2 linked regions of the Caenorhabditis elegans genome follow. The protein of the gene in region 1 purifies or fractionates together with the protein of each later gene. This does not show direct contact. Each region holds a gene or a part of one and is shown in the gene's direction. Other genes may lie near its edges. The genes, in order: gfat-2 and cct-7.

What was found.
Region 2: the proteins of gfat-2 (region 1) and cct-7 fractionate together in Caenorhabditis elegans (co-fractionation; one large-scale study listed by BioGRID). This does not show direct contact.

Annotation. Positions count from the first base shown.
Region 1 is NC_003282.8:11,408,930-11,413,781, forward strand, and holds gfat-2 (glutamine--fructose-6-phosphate transaminase (isomerizing)), read left to right. Parts: upstream 1-1,555; 5' UTR 1,556-1,583; coding exon 1,584-2,292; intron 2,293-2,340; coding exon 2,341-2,672; intron 2,673-2,723; coding exon 2,724-3,566; intron 3,567-3,614; coding exon 3,615-3,818; intron 3,819-3,871; coding exon 3,872-3,916; 3' UTR 3,917-4,072; downstream 4,073-4,852. Other genes in the region: F22B3.10 (PAN-3 domain-containing protein), read right to left, coding at 4,279-4,345, 4,395-4,540, 4,586-4,704, 4,749-4,852.
Region 2 is NC_003283.11:1,870,291-1,876,219, forward strand, and holds cct-7 (T-complex protein 1 subunit eta), read left to right. Parts: upstream 1-1,955; 5' UTR 1,956-1,961; coding exon 1,962-2,051; intron 2,052-2,109; coding exon 2,110-2,631; intron 2,632-3,188; coding exon 3,189-3,899; coding exon of another isoform or gene 3,900-3,944; exon of another isoform or gene 3,945-4,213; intron 4,214-4,599; coding exon 4,600-4,884; 3' UTR 4,885-5,215; downstream 5,216-5,929. Other genes in the region: knl-3 (Kinetochore NuLl), read left to right, coding at 1-71; T10B5.4 (aralkylamine N-acetyltransferase), read right to left, coding at 286-444, 726-840, 901-1,139, 1,210-1,410; zig-11 (Ig-like domain-containing protein), read right to left, coding at 5,911-5,929.

The DNA of each region.
Region 1 (4,852 bases):
ACAGTATAACCTCAACCCAAAAATACTCTGTACCCTCTGGCGTTCCCCAGGGAACTGTATCGGGTCCACTTCTTTTTATCCTGTTCATCAATGATCTACTACACTCAATCCCTCCTACCGTCCATTTCTCATGTTTTGCGGACGATATTAAATTATTTGGTCACAGCCCTTCTGAATTACAAGCAGCCATAGACTTAATTGCTAATTGGTCAAAAGATAACCAACTCCCGCTTGCCCCTGCTAAAACCGCCCTTCTTCAGTTAGGCAAAAAGAATTCTAAAAATGTTTACACCGTTGACAACATCACAGTTTCCCCCACCAACTCAGTGCGCGACCTTGGTCTCTACACTGACTCCAAGTTAACGTTTCAACCCCATATAAACAGAGCCACTTCTCTTGCCCTCTTACGCGCTAAACAAATCCTCAAATGTTTCTCCTCTTCTTCCCCTAAATTCTATATAAGTATGTACAAGACCTACGTTTCCCCTATCCTTGAATACGGATCAGTCATATACTCCCCTCCACCAACATCTAAATTATCAAGCACACTAGAATCTCCCCTCAAATACTTTTCTAAACGGGTCCTACAGCGCTGCAATATTAAATACAAAATAAAAAATGCTACACAAACACACAATGCTTTCTCCAAATCCTACGAAAACCGACTAAAAATTCTAGGAATTTCATCAGCCCGCTCTCTCCGCCTAAGAGCCCAACTATTGCTTCTATACAAAATTCTTACCGGCGCAGCGCACTTCCCTAAAAGCAGCGACTTTGTTACGCTTGCTAACTCGTCTCGTCGTCCGATGCTCATTAAAATTAAAAATCCCAAATGTCGTAGTTTTTTCTCCCAAGTAGTGCCAATATGGAATAGCATTGTACGCAACTCTAGCTTTTTCCTCTCCCCATCACAATTCCTTTCGCTTGTTAATTGTCAAATATCTAAATTCTGATCTCTTTCCCCCTCACTTAAACTCGCGCTCTGTCGGGCCGAGTTTATTTTAATTTATTCATCTACACGTGTAAATATCATAACCGGTTATGTTTTTCTTATCATATTCTTTTTGTTTCCATGATGAATAAATTAAAAAAAAAATCCTTTGCAAAAGTTACACTCCTGATTATAACACTTTGCTTTCGTCTTCTGAACTGATTTACTTGTTGAACCTATTTTTCTGACATTTTTGCTGTATCAGAAAAAATCCTTATTGTGGCTTATTTACAATTAATACACTTTAAGAATATTCTTCTATAGAATTAATTTTCACGATGTTTATATAAATATTATATAAATCAGCATTTTAGGTTCCAGACCTGATATGTTGTCTACCGTAGTTCAAAGGCGCATGATGTTTCCAACTTTGATCTCGTAACGATTCTCAAATTGCCCTATTTCATTTGAGGCTTTTGGCGGAAAAACGATGGAAAAATGACTATAAAGGTGAGTTTTTTTCCACTTGACTTCATTTTCTTATTTTTAAAAGTTGATTTTGTTTGTCCTGTGTGTTTTCATGGATCTCATAAAATTCCTTCGACGCTTAATTTTGTTTTACAGGTAGCCTCAACAAACTAACCCTCCCGAAATGTGCGGAATCTTTGCCTACCTCAATTTCCTGGCTCCGAAGAAGCGGTCGGAAATTGTGGACATTTTGGTTCAAGGATTGCAGAGAATGGAATACAGAGGTTACGACTCTGCCGGTATCGCCATTGACGGATCAAACGACATCGAAAATCCTCATTCGAAGATTGCTCTGCTCCGAAAGAGAGGAAAGGTGTCCGTTCTCAACGACTACATTAAGGAGAACAATGAAAAGCTCAACATGGATATGGAATACAATATTCATTGCGGGATTGCACACACTCGTTGGGCTACGCACGGATCACCACGTGATGTTAATTCCCATCCACATCGCAGCAACGACAACAACGAGTTCCTTGTGGTTCATAATGGTATCATTACCAATTATCGCGAAATCAAGGAGTATCTCGAGAAGAAGGGACACAAGTTCGAGTCTGAGACGGATACGGAAGTCATCGCAAAGCTCACACAGCATGTCCATGATCGTTATCCCGACTTTTCATTCCGTCAGTTAGTTGAGACGGTTATCCAGCAGTTGGAAGGAGCTTTCGCTTTGGCATTCAAGTCATCGCGTTTCCCAGGACAACTTGTGGCTTCTAGACGCGGATCTCCACTGTTGGTTGGTATCAAGAGCAACTCAACTCTTCACACTAGCCATTTCCCAGTCTCTTACTCGAAAGGACGCTGTTTTATGTCGAACAACGCCACGCATTGTAAGTTATTTAATGGTTCTATTTTCAATTGAACGAAAATGTTCTCAGTGCGCGAAGAGACATCGTTCGTCGAGACTCCAAACAACATTCTGGATCTTTCAATCGCTGTCAGAAATCCCAGTGGATCTGCAAAGCTGCCCGACAACAATTCCACAACACGTCCGTTCGACTCAACCGATTTTGAAGTTGAATACTTCATCGCCTCGGATGCGGCTGCAATCATTGAACACACCAAGCAAGTTCTGTTCCTTGAGGATGATGATGTGGCCTTCGTTGAAGATGGATCACTCACAATTCATCGCATCTCTCGCCACGCTGACAGCGGCGAACAAAAGAGAGAAGTTCAGCTTCTCGAGTTGGAAATCCAAGAGATTATGAAGGTTTGTGGAATATCCAAATTAGAATATTGTATTAAATTGTTTTATTTCCAGGGATCTTACAAGACCTTCATGCAAAAGGAGATCTTCGAGCAACCGGAATCAGTTGTCAACACAATGCGCGGACGTGTTCTCCCATCGGGACAAGTTGTTCTTGGTGGACTTAAGGAATACCTTCCAGCTATCAAACGATGCCGTCGCCTCATCATGGTTGCGTGTGGAACATCATATCACTCTGCAATTGCTTGCCGTCAGGTTCTCGAAGAATTGTCGGAACTGCCTGTTGTCGTCGAACTTGCTTCAGATTTCTTGGATCGTGAGACTCCAATCTTCCGTAATGATGTGTGCTTGTTCATCTCGCAGAGTGGAGAGACGGCTGATACTCTGATGGCTTTGAGATACTGCAAACCTCGTGGAGCTCTCACAATTGGAGTTACCAACACAGTCGGATCGTCGATTGGTCGCGAATCCCACTGTGGAATTCATATCAACGCTGGTCCGGAAATAGGAGTTGCTTCAACCAAGGCCTACACCTCGCAGATTGTATCACTTCTGTTGTTCGCACTCACCATCTCGGAAGATCGCATCTCGAAGATGAAGAGACGTGCAGAGATTATTGATGCTCTCAATAATCTTCCAATTCTGATCCGCGATGTTCTCGATCTGGACGATCAGGTACTGAAGATCGCTGAGCAAATCTACAAAGATAAGTCACTTCTCATTATGGGACGAGGATTGAACTTTGCCACGTGTCTCGAAGGAGCTCTCAAGATCAAAGAGCTCTCGTACATGCATTGTGAAGGAATCATGTCTGGTGAACTGAAGCATGGGCCTCTTGCAATGGTCGATGAATTCCTCAGCATCTGCATGGTAGTATGCAACGATCATGTCTACAAGGTTACAATTTTATCAACTGAGTTATTTTAAACAAATTTATATTTTCAGAAGTCGTTGAATGCTCTTCAGCAAGTTGTTGCGCGAAAGGGAGCCCCGATCATTATTGCCGATAGCAGCGTTCCGGAAAGTGATCTCGCTGGAATGAAGCATGTTCTCCGTGTCCCAAGAACAGTCGACTGTGTTCAAAACATCCTCACGGTCATTCCTCTGCAGCTTCTCTCCTACCACATTGCTGAGCTCAATGGAGCAAACGTAAGTTTTCACATTCTATCAAAAAGCAAATGTAATATTCGTTTTTTTTTCAGGTGGACCGACCACGCAATTTGGCAAAATCTGTCACTGTTGAGTAAGCCAATCCGTCAACCACATCCTTGCTCAATGACTACTCACCGCCTTTCTCGTCTTTCCTGTTAAATGATGTTACTATTTTGATAATTTCCCATCTAAAATGCTCCCTTTTATTTATTGCATGATCGAAGCAAACGAAAATAAATGTTTGTGCTCCAGTTCAAGTCTTATACACGGAATTTCAAGAAAGCTCAGAATACCCATTAAATACTAGAAAAAATATTAATATTGAAACGGTAGATGGAGAGAAAACTGACAGATTAGTACCTGGATAATAACATTTATTTCAACTGTTTCAGTTTCTGGAAGAAAACTTCAGATTATTTGTACAAATTCTTAACAAATGTAGAAGTATGATCCATTTTCATGCAGTCCACGCATCTTTTACACACAACAGTCCAAGCGCTTGCAATTTCCCTTTTATGGTGCAACTGAAAATACTAAAGTGTATACAAGCAATTTCAAAAACTCGAAGATTACCTTCGAACATCAACATACGAAGTTCCAACGCTTGGGAATACGAGAACAAGACAATCATCATCACTTTCCACCCTTGCACCAGCATTTGTTGTCCAGTTATAATAATTGAAATTACCCAAGAAATGAGGATCAGTGAATGTGAAACCCTAGAATTTAAAGTAGAGAATGCATGAATAAATGGAAAAACTTACAGATGGGGACATACATGCAGCTGTTTTTGGTGTTGATTGGCATGCCGTTGTTCTCTTACCATCAATTCTAACGTAGAACGAGCTTGACTTGAAAAATTTAATATATAGATTAACGAGCCCTGGAAGTATTTATAGTTTGAGTTCATCTAGTAATAAAACTCACATGTAAATGCGCCATTTTCAACTGAACTAGTAACTGTTGGCAGATTTCCATTTATGGATTTACACGTTTGAAGAGATGAATTTTGAAATAAGCCAAGTGTCGAA
Region 2 (5,929 bases), on another chromosome or scaffold:
TCAAGCAGGGCTTCGAGCGAATCGATGCTCTAATGAGCAAAATCAAGCCGATTCCAATTTTTGAATTCTGATTTCTGATTTCTCACGCTCTGTATAATATTCTATTTCTGACACAATTGATTTCATAAATACATGTATAATATTTTATTCATAGCCTAGGTCTTGCTTATTAAGTGTCAATTTCATTACGTGTACTTTAATTATTGGTTTTGAGTATCTGAAGTTGAGATCCTAGCTGCTTTGGTCCTTTATAAATATATGTTTCTTTAATTTGAGTTGCTATCGCTATCGAAGGTCGTCCTCTTCCTCCTCATTTGCATGTTTTTCTAGCTTCTTCCCCATTAGTTTCCCGCTGACTCCACCGTCGACGAGGTTCTCGAAAACCACGTCGCCATTGTTTCGAAAACAGGAAAATGGCATTTCGCGAAGTGTTGTGAGACCACACTGGAATTTTATTAGTTTTTGAAGCTTTTAGATCGAAAATTCATCGAGGCACCACGGATTCAAGTGCCAACGCAAAGAAACGGGCCAGATCCGATATCCCACCGGTTCTAGATTTCGTGGTGCCTCAATTGGTCTTGCCACGTGGTCAAAGGTCTCGCCACGCTTCCGATGTGGTGTGTGTGCCTTTAAACACGGGTACTGTATTTTTTATAGGTTTTCTGACTTTTCGCTCTATTTTTTTCGTAAAAAGCGGAAATTTTATTGAATAAGAAACTACTATCCTTGCTGAAAATATTCTGAGAAGCCACAGCAGTTGCAACGGTTGCCACGTACTCGCAATCTTCCTTCACAGCATTTTCCAGACTCTTCTCGACGAGCTGTCTTCCGATTCCCTTCCTAAATTGAGCACAATTCCCTAGGAGAACAAGAAAAAAAAAGAAGAAAATTGCTTCCTACCCTTGACAAGCCTTCGACACGCACAGCACATCGATTTTGAAGACTTTTTTCGGATTTCCAGTCAAAAACGACAAGTCTTGCTCCAAAACCTGCACGAATGCCACCAACTTGTTGGCATTTTCGTGTTTGTACTGGCCATTTGTGATTTCTGCGTTAAAATCCCAGTGTGGATTGAATGGGGTCGATTCGGAAACAAAAGAGCATTCTTTGACGGCATTCAGGCAAACTGCCACGATTTCCTGAACACTTTTTTTTCTAGAATTTGCGGGAAGCTAGATTAAATCTGAAAAACAAAAAACAAAAACCTACTTCCCCATCAAAAACCAGAATTGAACTTTTCTCATCTTCCAACCCGCTCATCGTCAAATCAACGAAAAACTCGGCGACATCTTCTTCCGAGCAGCTCAATGAAGTTGTGATGGGCTCCATTACTCTAAAATGCTCCACCAGGAACTTGTGAACTTGGTCCTTGTGCTCCAGGAGCCCAGTTTGGAATGTGAGCTCCGGCATTTGCAGAAAAAAGCGAATAAAAATAAAATAAAAGAAAGCAAAAGTGAAAGACTATTCCTCGAGAGCTCTGTGAGCCCTCACTTTTTCTCTGAACCTCCGAGACAACACGCGTTACATTTGCATTTTCACCACACATATTTCCCATGCTTCCAAGTATTGACATTTTCCTTTTCCTGCTTTTCTACTTCTCCCCTTCCTCACCGAAGTGTCTACTCGACGATTATGGAGCTTCTGAGAGCTCTGCTTTGCAATATTCTCAATGGAGCGCATTTGTGGCTGGTGGCCGTGGCCGCGAGCCGCGACGCAAGCACGCGCCGCTCCTGGGAATTGTTTCGAGAAGGAATATTTTCGTCGGACTATTTCTCGATTTTCATCTGGATCTTTGTGAATTTTCCAGATTTTCTTCATTAATATAATACTTCTAGACTTTCTACACATTTTAACATCAAAATCTTCGAATTTTGTCTTCTCTGCCCTCGTTTTAATCGCTCTTAATATTTCAAAATATTATACTCGTGCTTTAAAAATTAATAATTCAAATTCAGAGCAAGATGATGCGCCCACCAATTATCCTGCTCAAGGACGGAACTGAGAACAAGCAGGGAAAGGGTCAGATCATTTCCAACATCAACGCTTGTCAAGTTAGCTTCTAAAATTCTAAAATTTAGTCAAAAATGCCTAAAATGCTGTATTTTTCAGGTTGTCGCCGACAGTATCCGTACCACCTTGGGTCCACGTGGCCTCGACAAGCTCATCGTCGATAGCAAGGGAGCCACGACGATCTCCAACGATGGAGCCACAATTCTGAAGCTTTTGGATATTGTCTTCCCGGCCGCCTCCACAATGGTTGATATCGCTCGTTCTCAAGACGCTGAAGTCGGAGACGGAACCACGTCTGTCGTCGTTTTGGCCGCCGAAATTCTGAAGCAAATGAAGCCATTCATCGAGGACGGTGTCCATCCACAACTTCTCATTCGCGCCATCGGAAAAGCTTGCGAGAAGACGCTGAAGAACTTGGCTGATTTGGAAATCAAAATTAATGGCGAGACGGAGCTCCGTGAGATGCTTGTGAAGTGTGCTGCAACCACGTTGAGCAGCAAGCTCGTCAGTCAAGAACGGCTTTTCTTCGCCAATATGATTGTCGATGCTGTGAACACGTTGGATGCTCATCTTCCATTGAACATGATCGGAATCAAGAAGGTCAACGGAGGAAATTTGCACGTTAGTGAATCGAAAAGTCGTCTATCACGCGGTGTTTTGTCTTTCCACTGAAAATTGCAGATTTTTCAGCTTAAAAATGTTTTTCTCTGCATTTTACTAACAAAGCAGCTTTTTTAAACAGTGAAAATCGAATTTAAAATGACTAAAATGAACTTTTTTCGTCCACTGGTTGAGGAATGGTTAGAAATTGAAAAAATCAACGGGATTTTTCTTATTTTTTAAATATTTTTCCATTAAAAATCGATTTTAAACCATTTTGACCCTAATGTTAAGTCACAAATGGTTTAAAACCGATTTTTAATAGGACAATATTTAGAAAATATGAAAAATCCCGTTGATTTTTTTTTCAATTTAAAATCATTCCTCAACCATTGGACGAAAAATGTTCATTCTAGTCATTTTAAACTCGATTTTCACTGTTTACCAAAAGCTTTGTTAGTAAAATGCAGGAAAAACATTTGTTAAGCTGAAAAATCCGCATATTTTCAGTGGAAAGGCGAAATACCTCTATTTTAATTAATTAATATTTATTTTTAATTTAATTTTAAAAATTTCAGGAATCCCGTCTCATCAAAGGAGTTGCCTTCCAAAAAGCGTTCAGTTATGCTGGCTTCGAAATGCAGCCAAAGAAGTACTCCAATGTCAAAGTGGCTCTTCTTAACATTGAGCTGGAGCTCAAGGCAGAGAAAGAGAACGCTGAGATGCGTCTGACCAACGTTTCCGACTTCCAAGCTGTCGTTGACGCTGAGTGGAATATTCTTTACGATAAGCTTCAGAAGATTCACGATTCCGGCGCCAACGTGGTTCTCTCGAAACTTCCAATCGGAGATGTTGCTACCCAATGGTTCGCCGATCGTGACATGTTCTGTGCTGGACGAATTCCACAGGACGATCTTGATCGCTTGATGTCCGCATGCGGAGGAAGCGTTCTCACCACAGTCTCTCAAATCGACGACTCTGTCCTCGGAAAGTGCGGAAAATTCTACGAGCAACAAGTCGGAAGCGAGCGTTACAACTTCTTCGAGGACTGCTCAAAAGCTCAGGCATGTACGCTTCTTCTTCGCGGTGGAGCCGAGCAGTTCATCGCCGAGACCGAACGATCTCTTCACGACGCTATCATGATTGTTCGTCGTGCCAAGAAGAACGATTCGATCGTCGCCGGAGGAGGTGCCATCGAGATGGAGTTGAGCCGATTGATTCGTGAGCATTCGAAGGGTATTGAGGGCAAGGATCAAGCTTTCTGGATGGCTTATGGACAGGCTTTCGAGGTAGATATTGAAGAAACTGGTGCTAGTATAAATATGCAGAAATGAACGATTTTCGTGATGAGACAGTTCAAAATCTCGAAAAACTGGATTTTTTTGCTAAAATCTTTAATTTCTCCAACTTTTCCGTTTTCCAGTTGCTGGAAATTAAATTTTATTCGATTATCGATCTTTATTGCAGGTTTTTATCGTTTTTCTTCAGTTTTTTGTTGGCTTAGGCAGCCCTCAAGCTGTAAGGCTGCCTATTGACTCTAAATTTGCCTTAAACGAAGAAAAAACGACCAGAATATGCAATTTAATCGCATAAAAGTAAATTTTCAGCCGTTTTGATACGGAAAAGTTGGCAAAATATATGATTTTTGCGAAAACTGACCTTTTTTCAAGATTTTAAACAATTTCTGTTAACTTTCAGACCTATTTTGAGCTTAACTTAAAATGTGCCGAAATGAAGGAATTTTGAAAGTTCAAAATCTTGAAAACCTGGCTATTTTTAGTCAAAACCCCGAAAATTGCAGGTTTTCGTCGTTTTTCTCCCGTTTTTTAGGTTAGTTAAGGCAGATTTCAAGCTGTAAGTAATAAACCAACTAAAACATAACATTTTTTAAAGAAAAAATTCTTTGTATTTTTGAGTCGAAGAAACCAAAAAATCCATTTTTTTCACCAAAAACACCCAAAAAAAAAGCTAATTTCCGAAATTTTTCAGATCATCCCACGCCAGCTTTGCCAAAACGCCGGACTCGATGCTCTCGACGTGCTGAACAAGCTGAGACATCGTCATGCTCAAGGCGAGAAATGGGCCGGAATCGACATCCATCGTGAAGCCGTCGGAGATAATCTTGTCGCATGTGTCTGGGAGCCGAGCATCGTGAAGAGGAACGCCATCACAGCTGCCACCGAAGCCGCGTGCCTCGTTCTTTCGATCGATCAAACGGTGAAGAATGTTCGTACACCATCTGGAGGAGCAATGCCAGGACTTCCCGGGCAATAAGGAGATCAATGTGCCCCTCTGTGCATTCGCTGCTTTCTTTTGCTGTATTCAAATATTCAAATTTTGCGCAATTTTTTTTTAATTTTCTTCATAATTTTTGTTTGTTTTCTATCATTTTCATTAAACCTTTTGTTATGATCCCCCGTCTCTCTCTCTCTCTCAAACGTTCTCATCATAGCTTCTTGCAAAAAACTTTAAATTTTTTCTCAATTTTTCTTTTTCCCACCGATTTATTGTCCACCACCCGCTTGTTTTCTCTACCGCTCCCCGTCGTTTTCGTTTTGAATTTTCTGTTTGAATAAGTGCACTTTGAAAAAATTTTAATTTCAGTATTTCAAAAAAAAAGAACCATTAGAAAGAAGGTCAAACCTTACCGGAAAAAGCAGAAAAAGCGGAGAAGTTAGGTGATGGGGGTGGATACCGGCTTCAAAGTTGGGGGGTGGTGGGTGGGGATTAAGATGCATATAAAATGTCGCAAAAACACCTACTTTTACATATAAATCGGGGAGAAAAGTGAAATTTCTTGAATTTTGAGGAGTCACCACGGATTCAAGATCTATGAGAACGAGATCTCTGAAAATCGAGGCAACAATGCTCCGATTATACGCATCGCGCGCGTTGTTTAGCGTGTTGAGAATTTTTTTTTTGTCCTTTTTTTTGAAAGAAAAATTTCTGGAAAACGATAAACAACGCGCACGACAAGCGTAATATCGGAGCATCGTAAAAATGGTAGATCACAGAATCCCACAGGATCTTGACACCGTGGTGCCTCGAAAAAAGATTAAAGGAACATATAAGTGTGGGTGGCAGTGAGGGATATCGGGGGGTAATTGGTGGAGCTTTTGAGCATTACAAAATTATGAAAAAATTACGAAACAAAAAGTGGTGACAGGATGTCCCACAACGGTGGTTTGATCAACAAAAAAATGCGGGAACTTTTTTCACAGAAATTAATATTTCCTAAATTCCCGCGATTTTCGGAGATCAAAACGACATGGGACATTCTGAAACCCGAGATGAAAGAAATTAGACGCTATTCTTCAAC